Saccharomyces cerevisiae S288C: one gene and its partner. Changing the gene in region 1 together with any one later gene gives a genetic interaction. Each region holds a gene or a part of one and is shown in the gene's direction. Other genes may lie near its edges.

The links.
Region 2: mutations in YPL257W (region 1) and MCO6 together harm fitness more than expected from each alone (negative genetic interaction), as found in Saccharomyces cerevisiae (one large-scale study listed by BioGRID).

Annotation. Positions count from the first base shown.
Region 1 is NC_001148.4:57,298-64,460, forward strand, and holds YPL257W (uncharacterized protein), read left to right. Parts: upstream 1-5,981; coding exon 5,982-6,563; downstream 6,564-7,163. Other genes in the region: YPL257W-A (gag protein), read left to right, coding at 1-773.
Region 2 is NC_001142.9:179,571-186,219, reverse strand, and holds MCO6 (Mco6p), read left to right. Parts: upstream 1-4,510; coding exon 4,511-4,669; downstream 4,670-6,649. Other genes in the region: tRNA 1-methyladenosine methyltransferase subunit GCD14, read left to right, coding at 1-692; NIT2 (putative hydrolase), read right to left, coding at 796-1,719; SPT10 (Spt10p), read left to right, coding at 2,000-3,922; mitogen-activated protein kinase kinase PBS2, read left to right, coding at 6,117-6,649. UniProt on the Saccharomyces cerevisiae protein: Mediates the formation of endoplasmic reticulum (ER)-mitochondria encounter structure (ERMES) foci, thereby contributing to the formation of ER-mitochondrial contact sites.

The DNA of each region.
Region 1 (7,163 bases):
GGGTTAAAACATACATCAAATTTTTACAAAACTCGAATCTCGGTGGTATTATTCCGACAGTAAACGGAAAACCCGTACGTCAGATCACTGATGATGAACTCACCTTCTTGTATAACACTTTTCAAATATTTGCTCCCTCTCAATTCCTACCTACCTGGGTCAAAGACATCCTATCCGTTGATTATACGGATATCATGAAAATTCTTTCCAAAAGTATTGAAAAAATGCAATCTGATACCCAAGAGGCAAACGACATTGTGACCCTGGCAAATTTGCAATATAATGGCAGTACACCTGCAGATGCATTTGAAACAAAAGTCACAAACATTATCGACAGACTGAACAATAATGGCATTCATATCAATAACAAGGTCGCATGCCAATTAATTATGAGAGGTCTATCTGGCGAATATAAATTTTTACGCTACACACGTCATCGACATCTAAATATGACAGTCGCTGAACTGTTCTTAGATATCCATGCTATTTATGAAGAACAACAGGGATCGAGAAACAGCAAACCTAATTACAGGAGAAATCTGAGTGATGAGAAGAATGATTCTCGCAGCTATACGAATACAACCAAACCCAAAGTTATAGCTCGGAATCCTCAAAAAACAAATAATTCGAAATCGAAAACAGCCAGGGCTCACAATGTATCCACATCTAATAACTCTCCCAGCACGGACAACGATTCCATCAGTAAATCAACTACTGAACCGATTCAATTGAACAATAAGCACGACCTTCACCTTAGGCCAGGAACTTACTGAATCTACGGTAAATCACACTAATCATTCTGATGATGAACTCCCTGGACACCTCCTTCTCGATTCAGGAGCATCACGAACCCTTATAAGATCTGCTCATCACATACACTCAGCATCATCTAATCCTGACATAAACGTAGTTGATGCTCAAAAAAGAAATATACCAATTAACGCTATTGGTGACCTACAATTTCACTTCCAGGACAACACCAAAACATCAATAAAGGTATTGCACACTCCTAACATAGCCTATGACTTACTCAGTTTGAATGAATTGGCTGCAGTAGATATCACAGCATGCTTTACCAAAAACGTCTTAGAACGATCTGACGGCACTGTACTTGCACCTATCGTAAAATATGGAGACTTTTACTGGGTATCTAAAAAGTACTTGCTTCCATCAAATATCTCCGTACCCACCATCAATAATGTCCATACAAGTGAAAGTACACGCAAATATCCTTATCCTTTCATTCATCGAATGCTTGCGCATGCCAATGCACAGACAATTCGATACTCACTTAAAAATAACACCATCACGTATTTTAACGAATCAGATGTCGACTGGTCTAGTGCTATTGACTATCAATGTCCTGATTGTTTAATCGGCAAAAGCACCAAACACAGACATATCAAAGGTTCACGACTAAAATACCAAAATTCATACGAACCCTTTCAATACCTACATACTGACATATTTGGTCCAGTTCACAACCTACCAAATAGTGCACCATCCTATTTCATCTCATTTACTGATGAGACAACAAAATTCCGTTGGGTTTATCCATTACACGACCGTCGCGAGGACTCTATCCTCGATGTTTTTACTACGATACTAGCTTTTATTAAGAACCAGTTTCAGGCCAGTGTCTTGGTTATACAAATGGACCGTGGTTCTGAGTATACTAACAGAACTCTCCATAAATTCCTTGAAAAAAATGGTATAACTCCATGCTATACAACCACAGCGGATTCCCGAGCACATGGAGTCGCTGAACGGCTCAACCGTACCTTATTAGATGACTGCCGTACTCAACTGCAATGTAGTGGTTTACCGAACCATTTATGGTTCTCTGCAATCGAATTTTCTACTATTGTGAGAAATTCACTAGCTTCACCTAAAAGCAAAAAATCTGCAAGACAACATGCTGGCTTGGCAGGACTTGATATCAGTACTTTGTTACCTTTCGGTCAACCTGTTATCGTCAATGATCACAACCCTAACTCCAAAATACATCCTCGTGGCATCCCAGGCTACGCTCTACATCCGTCTCGAAACTCTTATGGATATATCATCTATCTTCCATCCTTAAAGAAGACAGTAGATACAACTAACTATGTTATTCTTCAGGGCAAGGAATCCAGATTAGATCAATTCAATTACGACGCACTCACTTTCGATGAAGACTTAAACCGTTTAACTGCTTCATATCATTCGTTCATTGCGTCAAATGAGATCCAAGAATCCAATGATCTTAACATAGAATCTGACCATGACTTCCAATCCGACATTGAACTACATCCTGAGCAACCGAGAAATGTCCTTTCAAAAGCTGTGAGTCCAACCGATTCCACACCTCCGTCAACTCATACTGAAGATTCGAAACGTGTTTCTAAAACCAATATTCGCGCACCCAGAGAAGTTGACCCCAACATATCTGAATCTAATATTCTTCCATCAAAGAAGAGATCTAGCACCCCCCAAATTTCCAATATCGAGAGTACCGGTTCGGGTGGTATGCATAAATTAAATGTTCCTTTACTTGCTCCCATGTCCCAATCTAACACACATGAGTCGTCGCACGCCAGTAAATCTAAAGATTTCAGACACTCAGACTCGTACAGTGAAAATGAGACTAATCATACAAACGTACCAATATCCAGTACGGGTGGTACCAACAACAAAACTGTTCCGCAGATAAGTGACCAAGAGACTGAGAAAAGGATTATACACCGTTCACCTTCAATCGATGCTTCTCCACCGGAAAATAATTCATCGCACAATATTGTTCCTATCAAAACGCCAACTACTGTTTCTGAACAGAATACCGAGGAATCTATCATCGCTGATCTCCCACTCCCTGATCTACCTCCAGAATCTCCTACCGAATTCCCTGACCCATTTAAAGAACTCCCACCGATAAATTCTCGTCAAACTAATTCCAGTTTGGGTGGTATTGGTGACTCTAATGCCTATACTACTATCAACAGTAAGAAAAGATCATTAGAAGATAATGAAACTGAAATTAAGGTATCACGAGACACATGGAATACTAAGAATATGCGTAGTTTAGAACCTCCGAGATCGAAGAAACGAATTCACCTGATTGCAGCTGTAAAAGCAGTAAAATCAATCAAACCAATACGGACAACCTTACGATACGATGAGGCAATCACCTATAATAAAGATATTAAAGAAAAAGAAAAATATATCGAGGCATACCACAAAGAAGTCAATCAACTGTTGAAGATGAAAACTTGGGACACTGACGAATATTATGACAGAAAAGAAATAGACCCTAAAAGAGTAATAAACTCAATGTTTATCTTCAACAAGAAACGTGACGGTACTCATAAAGCTAGATTTGTTGCAAGAGGTGATATTCAGCATCCTGACACTTACGACTCAGGCATGCAATCCAATACCGTACATCACTATGCATTAATGACATCCCTGTCACTTGCATTAGACAATAACTACTATATTACACAATTAGACATATCTTCGGCATATTTGTATGCAGACATCAAAGAAGAATTATACATAAGACCTCCACCACATTTAGGAATGAATGATAAGTTGATACGTTTGAAGAAATCACTTTATGGATTGAAACAAAGTGGAGCGAACTGGTACGAAACTATCAAATCATACCTGATAAAACAGTGTGGTATGGAAGAAGTTCGTGGATGGTCATGCGTATTTAAGAATAGTCAAGTAACAATATGTTTATTTGTTGACGACATGATTTTATTCAGCAAAGACTTAAATGCAAATAAGAAAATCATAACAACACTCAAGAAACAATACGATACAAAGATAATAAATCTGGGTGAAAGTGATAACGAAATTCAGTACGACATACTTGGCTTAGAAATCAAATATCAAAGAGGTAAATACATGAAATTAGGTATGGAAAACTCATTAACTGAGAAAATACCCAAATTAAACGTACCTTTGAATCCAAAAGGAAGAAAACTTAGCGCTCCAGGTCAACCAGGTCTTTATATAGACCAGGATGAACTAGAAATAGATGAAGATGAATACAAAGAGAAGGTACATGAAATGCAAAAGTTGATTGGTCTAGCTTCATATGTTGGATATAAATTTAGATTTGACTTACTATACTACATCAACACACTTGCTCAACATATACTATTCCCCTCTAGGCAAGTTTTAGACATGACATATGAGTTGATACAATTCATGTGGGACACTAGAGATAAACAACTGATATGGCACAAAAACAAACCTACCGAGCCAGATAATAAACTAGTCGCAATAAGTGATGCTTCGTATGGCAACCAACCGTATTATAAATCACAAATTGGCAACATATATTTACTTAATGGAAAGGTAATTGGAGGAAAGTCCACCAAGGCTTCATTAACATGTACTTCAACTACGGAAGCAGAAATACACGCGATAAGTGAATCTGTCCCATTATTAAATAATCTAAGTTACCTGATACAAGAACTTAACAAGAAACCAATTATTAAAGGCTTACTTACTGATAGTAGATCAACGATCAGTATAATTAAGTCTACAAATGAAGAGAAATTTAGAAACAGATTTTTTGGCACAAAGGCAATGAGACTTAGAGATGAAGTATCAGGTAATAATTTATACGTATACTACATCGAGACCAAGAAGAACATTGCTGATGTGATGACAAAACCTCTTCCGATAAAAACATTTAAACTATTAACTAACAAATGGATTCATTAGATCTATTACATTATGGGTGGTATGTTGGAATAGAAATCAACTATCATCTACTAACTAGTATTTACATTACTAGTATATTATCATATACGGTGTTAGAAGATGACGCAAATGATGAGAAATAGTCATCTAAATTAGTGGAAGCTGAAACGCAAGGATTGATAATGTAATAGGATCAATGAATATAAACATATAAAACGGAATGAGGAATAATCGTAATATTAGTATGTAGAAATATAGATTCCATTTTGAGGATTCCTATATCCTCGAGGAGAACTTCTAGTATATTCTGTATACCTAATATTATAGCCTTTATCAACAATGGAATCCCAACAATTATCTCAACATTCACCCATTTCTCAGTTATACTATCAATGTTGGAATAAAAATCAACTATCATCTACTAACTAGTATTTACGTTACTAGTATATTATCATATACGGTGTTAGAAGATGACGTAAATGATGAGAAATAGTCATCTAAATTAGTGGAAGCTGAAACGCAAGGATTGATAATGTAATAGGATCAATGAATATTAACATATAAAATGATGATAATAATATTTATAGAATTGTGTAGAATTGCAGATTCCCTTTTATGGATTCCTAAATCCTCGAGGAGAACTTCTAGTATATCTACATACCTAATATTATAGCCTTAATCACAATGGAATCCCAACAATTACATCAAAATCCACATGCTCTACAATCAATATATTATCATATACGGTGTTAGATGATGACATAAGTTATGAGAAGCTGCCCATCGAAGTTAGAGGAAGCTAAAGTGCAAGGATTGATAATGTAATAGGATAATCAAACATATAAAACGGAATGAGGAATAATCGTAATATTGGTATATAGAAATTTCGATTTTATTTTGAGGATTCCCATACCGCCGAGGAGAGCTTCGAGTATACTCTGTATACATGATATTATAGCCTTTATCAACAATGGAATCCCAACAATTATCTAAAAATTCACCCACATCTCAATTTTAGAGTTTCATTTCAACAAAACGCATAACATATATACCAACAATGAATACTGTATACGTTTTTTACAATTTCTTTTGGAGAAAACTCCACTGCCTGTGTTGGACTTCATACGAGATTTTTTTCACCGTTGATTTGGAAACACTAGACAAATTGGAGATAAAGGCGCTTCCTTAAACAACAAGCAGACTGCTATCAAGTATAGTATACAGATCACCATTTATTTTTTTTTTCCCCTTGGTAGTATCATATACTTTTGAAAAGTTGTAGTATGACAGCTCATGCAAATGAAAGGATTAGCGATGTATCCCCTAGTGCTAGGGGTTCAAGTTCGGAATCGAAGTATGACAAGCTCTGCCGAGTTCTTTTCTTTATTGCAATTACAAAAAGCTCATTCACTCCGGAGCACATATTGTATAAGCATTCAATATTTACTGATAAGCCAATTTTAGCTGATATAGTTACTTTTATGTATGCGGCGTTTGTTTCCATTGGATGGTTTCTGATATGGGGGGAAAGAGCATACAGAACTCAAGAAATGGGTCAACCTCCAATGTACTCGAATATAAACTATCACCTTTTAAGTTTTAAGAAAAGACACCCCAAGAAATTTACATGTGCGTTATGGTTGGTATTTTTCCTTGCATATACGGTTTTGACAGTTTTAATTTGGTTAGTTCAGTTGATTTTTCGAAAAGGTAATGTTTTTCAAATGTTATTGCAACTTATTATATTAGATATCGCCATTGCATTGGTCAATGTAGCAATTGCATTCACTTTTGAAATATATCTTTCACAGAAAGCCGCTATCGAGATTCGCGACGAAGGTTTAAATAATCTTGACACCGCTTAATGGAATGGTAGTCGAAAGGTAAGAAGTACGCAGCAAATTCAACCAGAATACACACTGTACCTTTTAAAATTTTACTCATAGTAGATAATGGCATAAATCAGTGGTAAAAAAAGAATACGCATGACAAATTTTGAAAACCGTACGTGACATAAAATACCTATAATAAGATGAAGACATCAATTCTCAAGTTCCACTTTTCGCCGGTTGAGTGTATCGGTCATAGTACAAAGGCAGAAATGAATAATAGTAATATTAATCGCAGTTTCCTGTTGTTTAGAGAACTGAAACGCTTTGTGGGCATCAGGTTTAGATTAACTGCTACCCTTCTTCTGTATTTGTCTGGCCATGCTTCTCAAATAAACCGCTGCGGATAACATTTCAAGTGGTTTCTCAAGGGAGAATCATAGTTTAGCTTAACATACAGCAAATCGTCACTATCTTGACTGATGCCCGGTGTATAGAGAATGGGTAGTTAATATCATCTAGATGGGGTTTCTTTGAAAACACCAGTTTCTTTGAGGACACCAGTTTCAGTGCTTCTCTCTACCCCATCAACTATTGCACTCCTACCTGCGTAATAAGTATACGAAGTCTAAAATA
Region 2 (6,649 bases), on another chromosome or scaffold:
AGCATGGACTTATTGATGATAACGTTACGATTACACATCGGGATGTTTGCCAAGGTGGATTTCTTATAAAGAAGGGAGACACTACATCTTACGAATTTGGCAATAATGAAACCGCCGCTTCATTGAATGCAAATGTAGTGTTTTTAGATCTGCCGGCTCCCTGGGATGCTATACCTCATCTGGATTCTGTTATTTCCGTAGACGAAAAGGTCGGATTGTGTTGCTTCTCCCCATGCATTGAGCAAGTAGACAAAACATTGGATGTATTAGAGAAATATGGCTGGACGGATGTTGAAATGGTGGAAATTCAAGGTAGACAGTACGAAAGTCGAAGACAAATGGTCAGATCACTCAATGATGCCCTGGAAAGGTTGAGAGATATTAAGAGGCACAAACTCCAGGGTGTAGAAAGACGCAAGCGGATGTTTAACAATACAATAGATTCTAACGATGAAAAAGTTGGAAAAAGAAACGAGGATGGCGTACCATTAACAGAAAAGGCCAAATTTAATCCTTTTGGCAAAGGTTCTCGAATCAAGGAAGGTGATAGTAATTATAAATGGAAGGAGGTCACAAAGATGGAAGCTGAGATCAAATCCCATACCTCATATTTGACTTTTGCATTTAAAGTTGTGAATAGATCAAGAGATGATGAAAAAGTTAACGAAATTCTTCGATCCACGGAAAAATAATTAAATGATTAACTACTTATATACTTAAATTATATGTTTTTGAAATTTTTAATATGTAAAGCAAATCTGTACGAATAAAGGCTTTTTTCATATTTTATTTGCCTCAATGAAATAAATCGTCTCTTCTCTGGTTCCATAAGGGCATTTTGTTCCTTATTTCTTGCAAAAGCTCACGATCCAAATCAGCGAGAATTAGTTGTGGTCCAACAGTAGAGGGATCGGCATGCGCTATTATTTTACCCCAAGGATCAATGACCATTGAGTGTCCCCAAGATTCTCTCCTGGAGCTTTTTTCGAGAGCGCTCATATGTGATTGTTTCTCCCACTCTGGATCACTGAGATCGTGCATTCCAACCTGCCCTGGCATGAGCACATAGCATTGAGTGTCAACCGCTCTTGCTCTGCCTAGTAACTCCCAATGTGCTTCCCCTGTTTTAATAGTGAACGCACTGGGAAAACATAAGATTTCAGCCCCCATTGATCGTAATTTCAAAGAAAATTCGGGAAAGCGAATATCATAACAAATGGCACTGCCCAATTTTCCCAATGGAGACTCTATAATGTCAGGAATGGCTTTGCCAGGCTGGACAGATTTTGATTCTTTCAATATCGGTCCATTTGGCACGTCTACGTCAAACAAATGCAGTTTTTGGTATTCTTGCAATATTTTCCCTTCATGATCGATATATAATAGAACGTTTCTGACTCGATCATTGCCTTCAAGTAAATCTTGTTCTGAGGGCGGCAAGTGTACCCCAATGGAAACATCTATATTCCGTGAATTATCTCTGACAAGGTCGGTAATGCTTGACTGTAATTGCCGAATAAATTTGGGGCTTTTCTGTGCCAAATACCTGGAATGAAGAGGGTTTTGAGAAAGATAGTCACTTGCCTCAGGGAGAAAAACGACATCCGCCTTTTTTTGAATGGCTTCAGATATCAATTCTTTTACCACTTTTAAGTTTTTGGTCAGGTCAGCGGATGAACATAATTGTGCGACAGCAACCCGTTTTAATTTACTAGTCATTTGCGGTGTTATATTTTATGAAGGAGACTTCATGATGGGTATGAATTTTATTTCACCTCTATTCATTTACTTCTAATGGCCTAGAATCTAGTAAGCTCTGAAAATTCGAGATGCGGATCGTGAGCTAAAATAATAAAAAAATGAAAAATATAAAAGAGCAAAATTCATTACATTGGCGTTAGTTCACTGCTCGGGGGATGAGTAAAAAGTGTACCGATCAAGAACAACTCTAGACTTCCGCCAAAGTGATTATCAACAAAAATCGTAATAATTAGCTTCAATGCTAAATCAGCACACAAGTTCAGTACCGGATGACGAACATCTGCAGATGGCACACCAAAATAGCAGTTCAGAAGTGAGAAATGAGGCAGCGGTCCCAGATCAACTTTTGACTCCTTTACAACCGTATACCATTTTATTGAAAGATGGAGAAACAATAGCTACGATGTATCCTATACCTGCGTATCCTGATTTATTGCCGCTAGGGCTCTTAAATTTCCTTCTAGATGAATTTAACATGGAAGTGGAAAAGGGAGATAGTTTTCCTTATTACGAGACTTTATCACTAGAAGAATTCAAAAATGTCTGGTTTCATAATGATGGTCACGTTTGTATTATGGTGTTAGGCGAAATACCAGAACTGGATTATAGTATGGATACTGAAGCGGACACAAATGATAATTTTGGAACAGAAATAGAAACCACGAAGCACACCACCCAATATAAGAAACGAAAAGAACGTCGCAATTTAAATCTAAGTATGCAGTGGGAGAAGCAATGTCTAGGCATATTTGACCTCAAACCAGCATACCCTGGACGGTCAGCGCATGTGGTCACAGGAACATTTCTGGTCAATGCTGGTATTCGTGGAAAAGGTATTGGGAAAACACTAATGGAAACATTCATAGAATGGTCAAAGAAATTAGGATTTACGTCCTCCTTTTTCCCGTTAATTTACGGAACGAACGTAGGAATCAGAAGAATTTTGGAAGGATTGAACTTTAGGCGGATTGGAAAGCTGCCTGAAGCCGGGATTCTCAAGGGCTTTGATGTCCCAGTAGATTCTTTCATGTATGGTAAAGAGTTCACACATATTACGAAAAGTATAGATTTGTTACGAGATCCTCAAAAGAGTATCGAAATTGGGAAATATGAACGATTAAAGCATTTTCTGGAAACAGGCAAGTATCCTTTACATTGTGATAGAAACGAAAAGGCTAGATTAAGAGTACTTTCCAAAACTCATTCGGTATTGAATGGCAAGTTGATGACAAAAGGAAAAGAAATCATTTATGACACGGATCAACAAATCCAGATTGCATTAGAGATACATTTAATGGAACATTTAGGCATCAACAAGGTGACCTCCAAAATTGGTGAAAAATACCATTGGAGAGGAATCAAGAGTACTGTTTCGGAGGTAATCTCTCGGTGCCAAAAATGCAAGATGAGGTACAAAGACGGGACAGGGGTAATAATTGAACAAAAGAGAGCAGTTAAGCAGGCGCATATGCTACCGACGCAGCATATAGAAACTATCAACAATCCAAGAAAAAGCAAGAAGCATGATAATGCGTTATTGGGACAGGCAATAAATTTCCCTCAAAATATTATTTCCAGTACGCTGAATGATGTGGAGGGTGAACCCACTCCGCCAGACACTAATATCGTACAACCCACATTCCAGAACGCCACGAATAGTCCCGCAACAACAGCTGAAGCCAACGAAGCGAATAAAAGATCCGAGTTTCTTTCCTCAATACAGAGCACGCCACTATTGGACGACGAACAGTCAATGAATTCCTTCAATAGATTCGTGGAGGAAGAAAACTCAAGAAAAAGACGAAAATACTTGGATGTTGCCTCCAACGGAATTGTACCCCATTTAACGAATAACGAATCGCAGGATCACGCGAACCCCGTCAACCGTGATGAACGAGATATGAACCATTCAGTTCCCGATTTAGATAGAAATGACCATACTATAATGAACGATGCTATGTTGAGCCTCGAAGATAACGTCATGGCCGCTCTAGAAATGGTCCAAAAGGAACAACAACAGAAGATAAATCATCGAGGTGAAGATGTGACTGGCCAACAAATCGATTTGAACAACAGTGAAGGTAATGAGAATTCAGTCACTAAGATTGTTAACAACGAATCTAATACATTTACAGAGCACAATTCTAATATTTATTATTAAATTGCGACTCTGCCAGAGACGGTCACATCACCAACCCTAGAAACTATAAAGTTTGTACAGAAAAAAGGTACATTTAATGATGCGTCCACTTTTGGAACAGGGTTGACAAGTCTTAAATCTTATTTCAGAAGTGATTTTTGAAGTAAAATTGGAAACTGAAATTGGAAACAAGGCACTCAACTCAATTATGCTTGCATGACGAAAGGTTCTGTTACAGTTTTACGTTGAAACCTAGGTACTGCAGAAATCCATAATCGGAGATAAATAACTAAGCTTTGTGCTGCAAAATTTTCCAGATTAGGAAACCTGATCCTCAGTGCCCTTTTAAGTACTGCTGTATCTGATGCCGTGAACGAGACACTATTGGCTGCGTGGGCACGTACCAAGTATACTCATCAAAATTTGTCTTAGGTTTTCCGATGCGGAAAATGGCAGCGCACAATTTAAATAGAAAAGGAGTTAAATGTACAGCAGCAAAATCAGTCACTCACGGAGAAAAGCTACGGTAGCGTAACGAAGAGCACATTGCTACTAGCAGCCAGCTAGATAATTGCAGCAGTGTACAGTTTACGCGACAATAAAGAAAGCATGATTTTCTTTTTCAACCAGATCCGTTCAATATTTACAGCTTTGCATACGCCAACTCAACAGATCCAATTATCAAGAAGGGCCTTTTTCCAATTCTTAGGCTATTTGGGTAGTTGTGTTGTGATTTCATTAGCAGCTCAATCGAAATACGTGCAGTAAGAAATGAAATAATGACCTGCAACAGTCCTTCTTGAGATGGAATGAAGTAATTGCTCTTTGAACGAGAGCACAAAAGCAAGCAGAAGTCGCGTATGTCAAGCCCATGATATAGCTGCTTAGATATATAGGTAGATATAAATAAGCACAATGGCTACAGTAATTGTGCGGTGCAGGGAGGCAATGTTTAGTGCATCTCCTCTACATCATTTCTATTTTTAATCTCGTCCACGAGAACGATTTAAGGAAATGGGGCTTCAAAAATAAAAAAATCAAATGAAAGTAATAATCTTTCAGCTTAGACTTATTTTTAGTTGAAACACTTGAATAAGAGTGCAGACACTCAATCGTGGTGTAGCTACAAGAACATATGGTGGCGTGTTTCTGCTGCAACTGTCAAGATCGTCTGTGTCTTAATGAGGTGATATATAGAACTGCTGAATACGGAGCCGTTTGTCTTTTACTGCGGGATTAACTTCAACAGCTACGGCCGAAGCCAATTCTGGCAAAAGGCAATGACTAAGTCTTGTTTCTCATGTAGATTACTATTTTGAGCGTGTTGCTTTTCTGTTCCCCTTGAGCATAGCAGCAGGCACGGAAGCATACAGAATATTCACTAACATGAGAACAACTCATTACTAGACTACTACCAGTTACTACACATCGATACAACTCCCCAGAAATATCACTGTTGAGAGTTCATGTCAAGACGTAGTATAGTATTGCAACAGGAAAAAAAAATCTTATTGCGTAGCACTCTGTATCTATTTTATATATCTGTTTCTATATTTGATTAATCTCTTGTTATCTTGGTGATGATCGCACAAGTATGTACTCCTGTATCTGCAAGAATATCTGTTTTAAACTTTTCAAAGCAAGGAAACCCCGTCTTATATAGGTTATCCGCAAAGGTCACATTTTCTTGCAAATAGAAGAAAAAGCACCCACAAGCACACTAACACAGTGCCAGAGCAAAACTATATCCTTTGCATCCGATCTCAAACGCTGTTCTTATCGCATCTGTCTTCGTCCTTTCATCTGCATTTACCTTTTCTTTTTCATCCTCTATTTGCCTTTTCATTAGTGGCAATTTTTCCAGTTTTTTCCCTCTGCGTCCCGTTGCACCTGAAAGGATCTTTCTAACGTGTGTTGTCTACTAGTGAGCGATTTCGTGAGCCATACACGTTCTATAGAAAATTGAATAAACTTTACTTCAAAGGGATCTGGACACAGAGATAACTGCTTACCTGCTTGCCGGAAGAAAAGAATTACTAAAAAAGAAGACAAGGGTAGCTGCTATTGTGGGTACACGTTTCACAGAACTACTTTTTCCTTGTCCTTCTCCAGACATCAACGTCATACAACTAAAACTGATAAAGTACCCGTTTTTCCGTACATTTCTATAGATACATTATTATATTAAGCAGATCGAGACGTTAATTTCTCAAAGATGGAAGACAAGTTTGCTAACCTCAGTCTCCATGAGAAAACTGGTAAGTCATCTATCCAATTAAACGAGCAAACAGGCTCAGATAATGGCTCTGCTGTCAAGAGAACATCTTCGACGTCCTCGCACTACAATAACATCAACGCTGACCTTCATGCTCGTGTAAAAGCTTTTCAAGAACAACGTGCATTGAAAAGGTCTGCCAGCGTGGGCAGTAATCAAAGCGAGCAAGACAAAGGCAGTTCACAATCACCTAAACATATTCAGCAGATTGTTAATAAGCCATTGCCGCCTCTTCCCGTAGCAGGAAGTTCTAAGGTTTCACAAAGAATGAGTAGCCAAGTCGTGCAAGCGTCCTCCAAGAGCACTCTTAAGAACGTTCTGGACAATCAAGAAACACAAAACATTACCGACGTAAATATTAACATCGATACAACCAAAATTACCGCCACAACAATTGGTGTAAATACTGGCCTACCTGCTACTGACATTACGCCGTCAGTTTCTAATACTGCATCAGCAACACATAAGGCGCA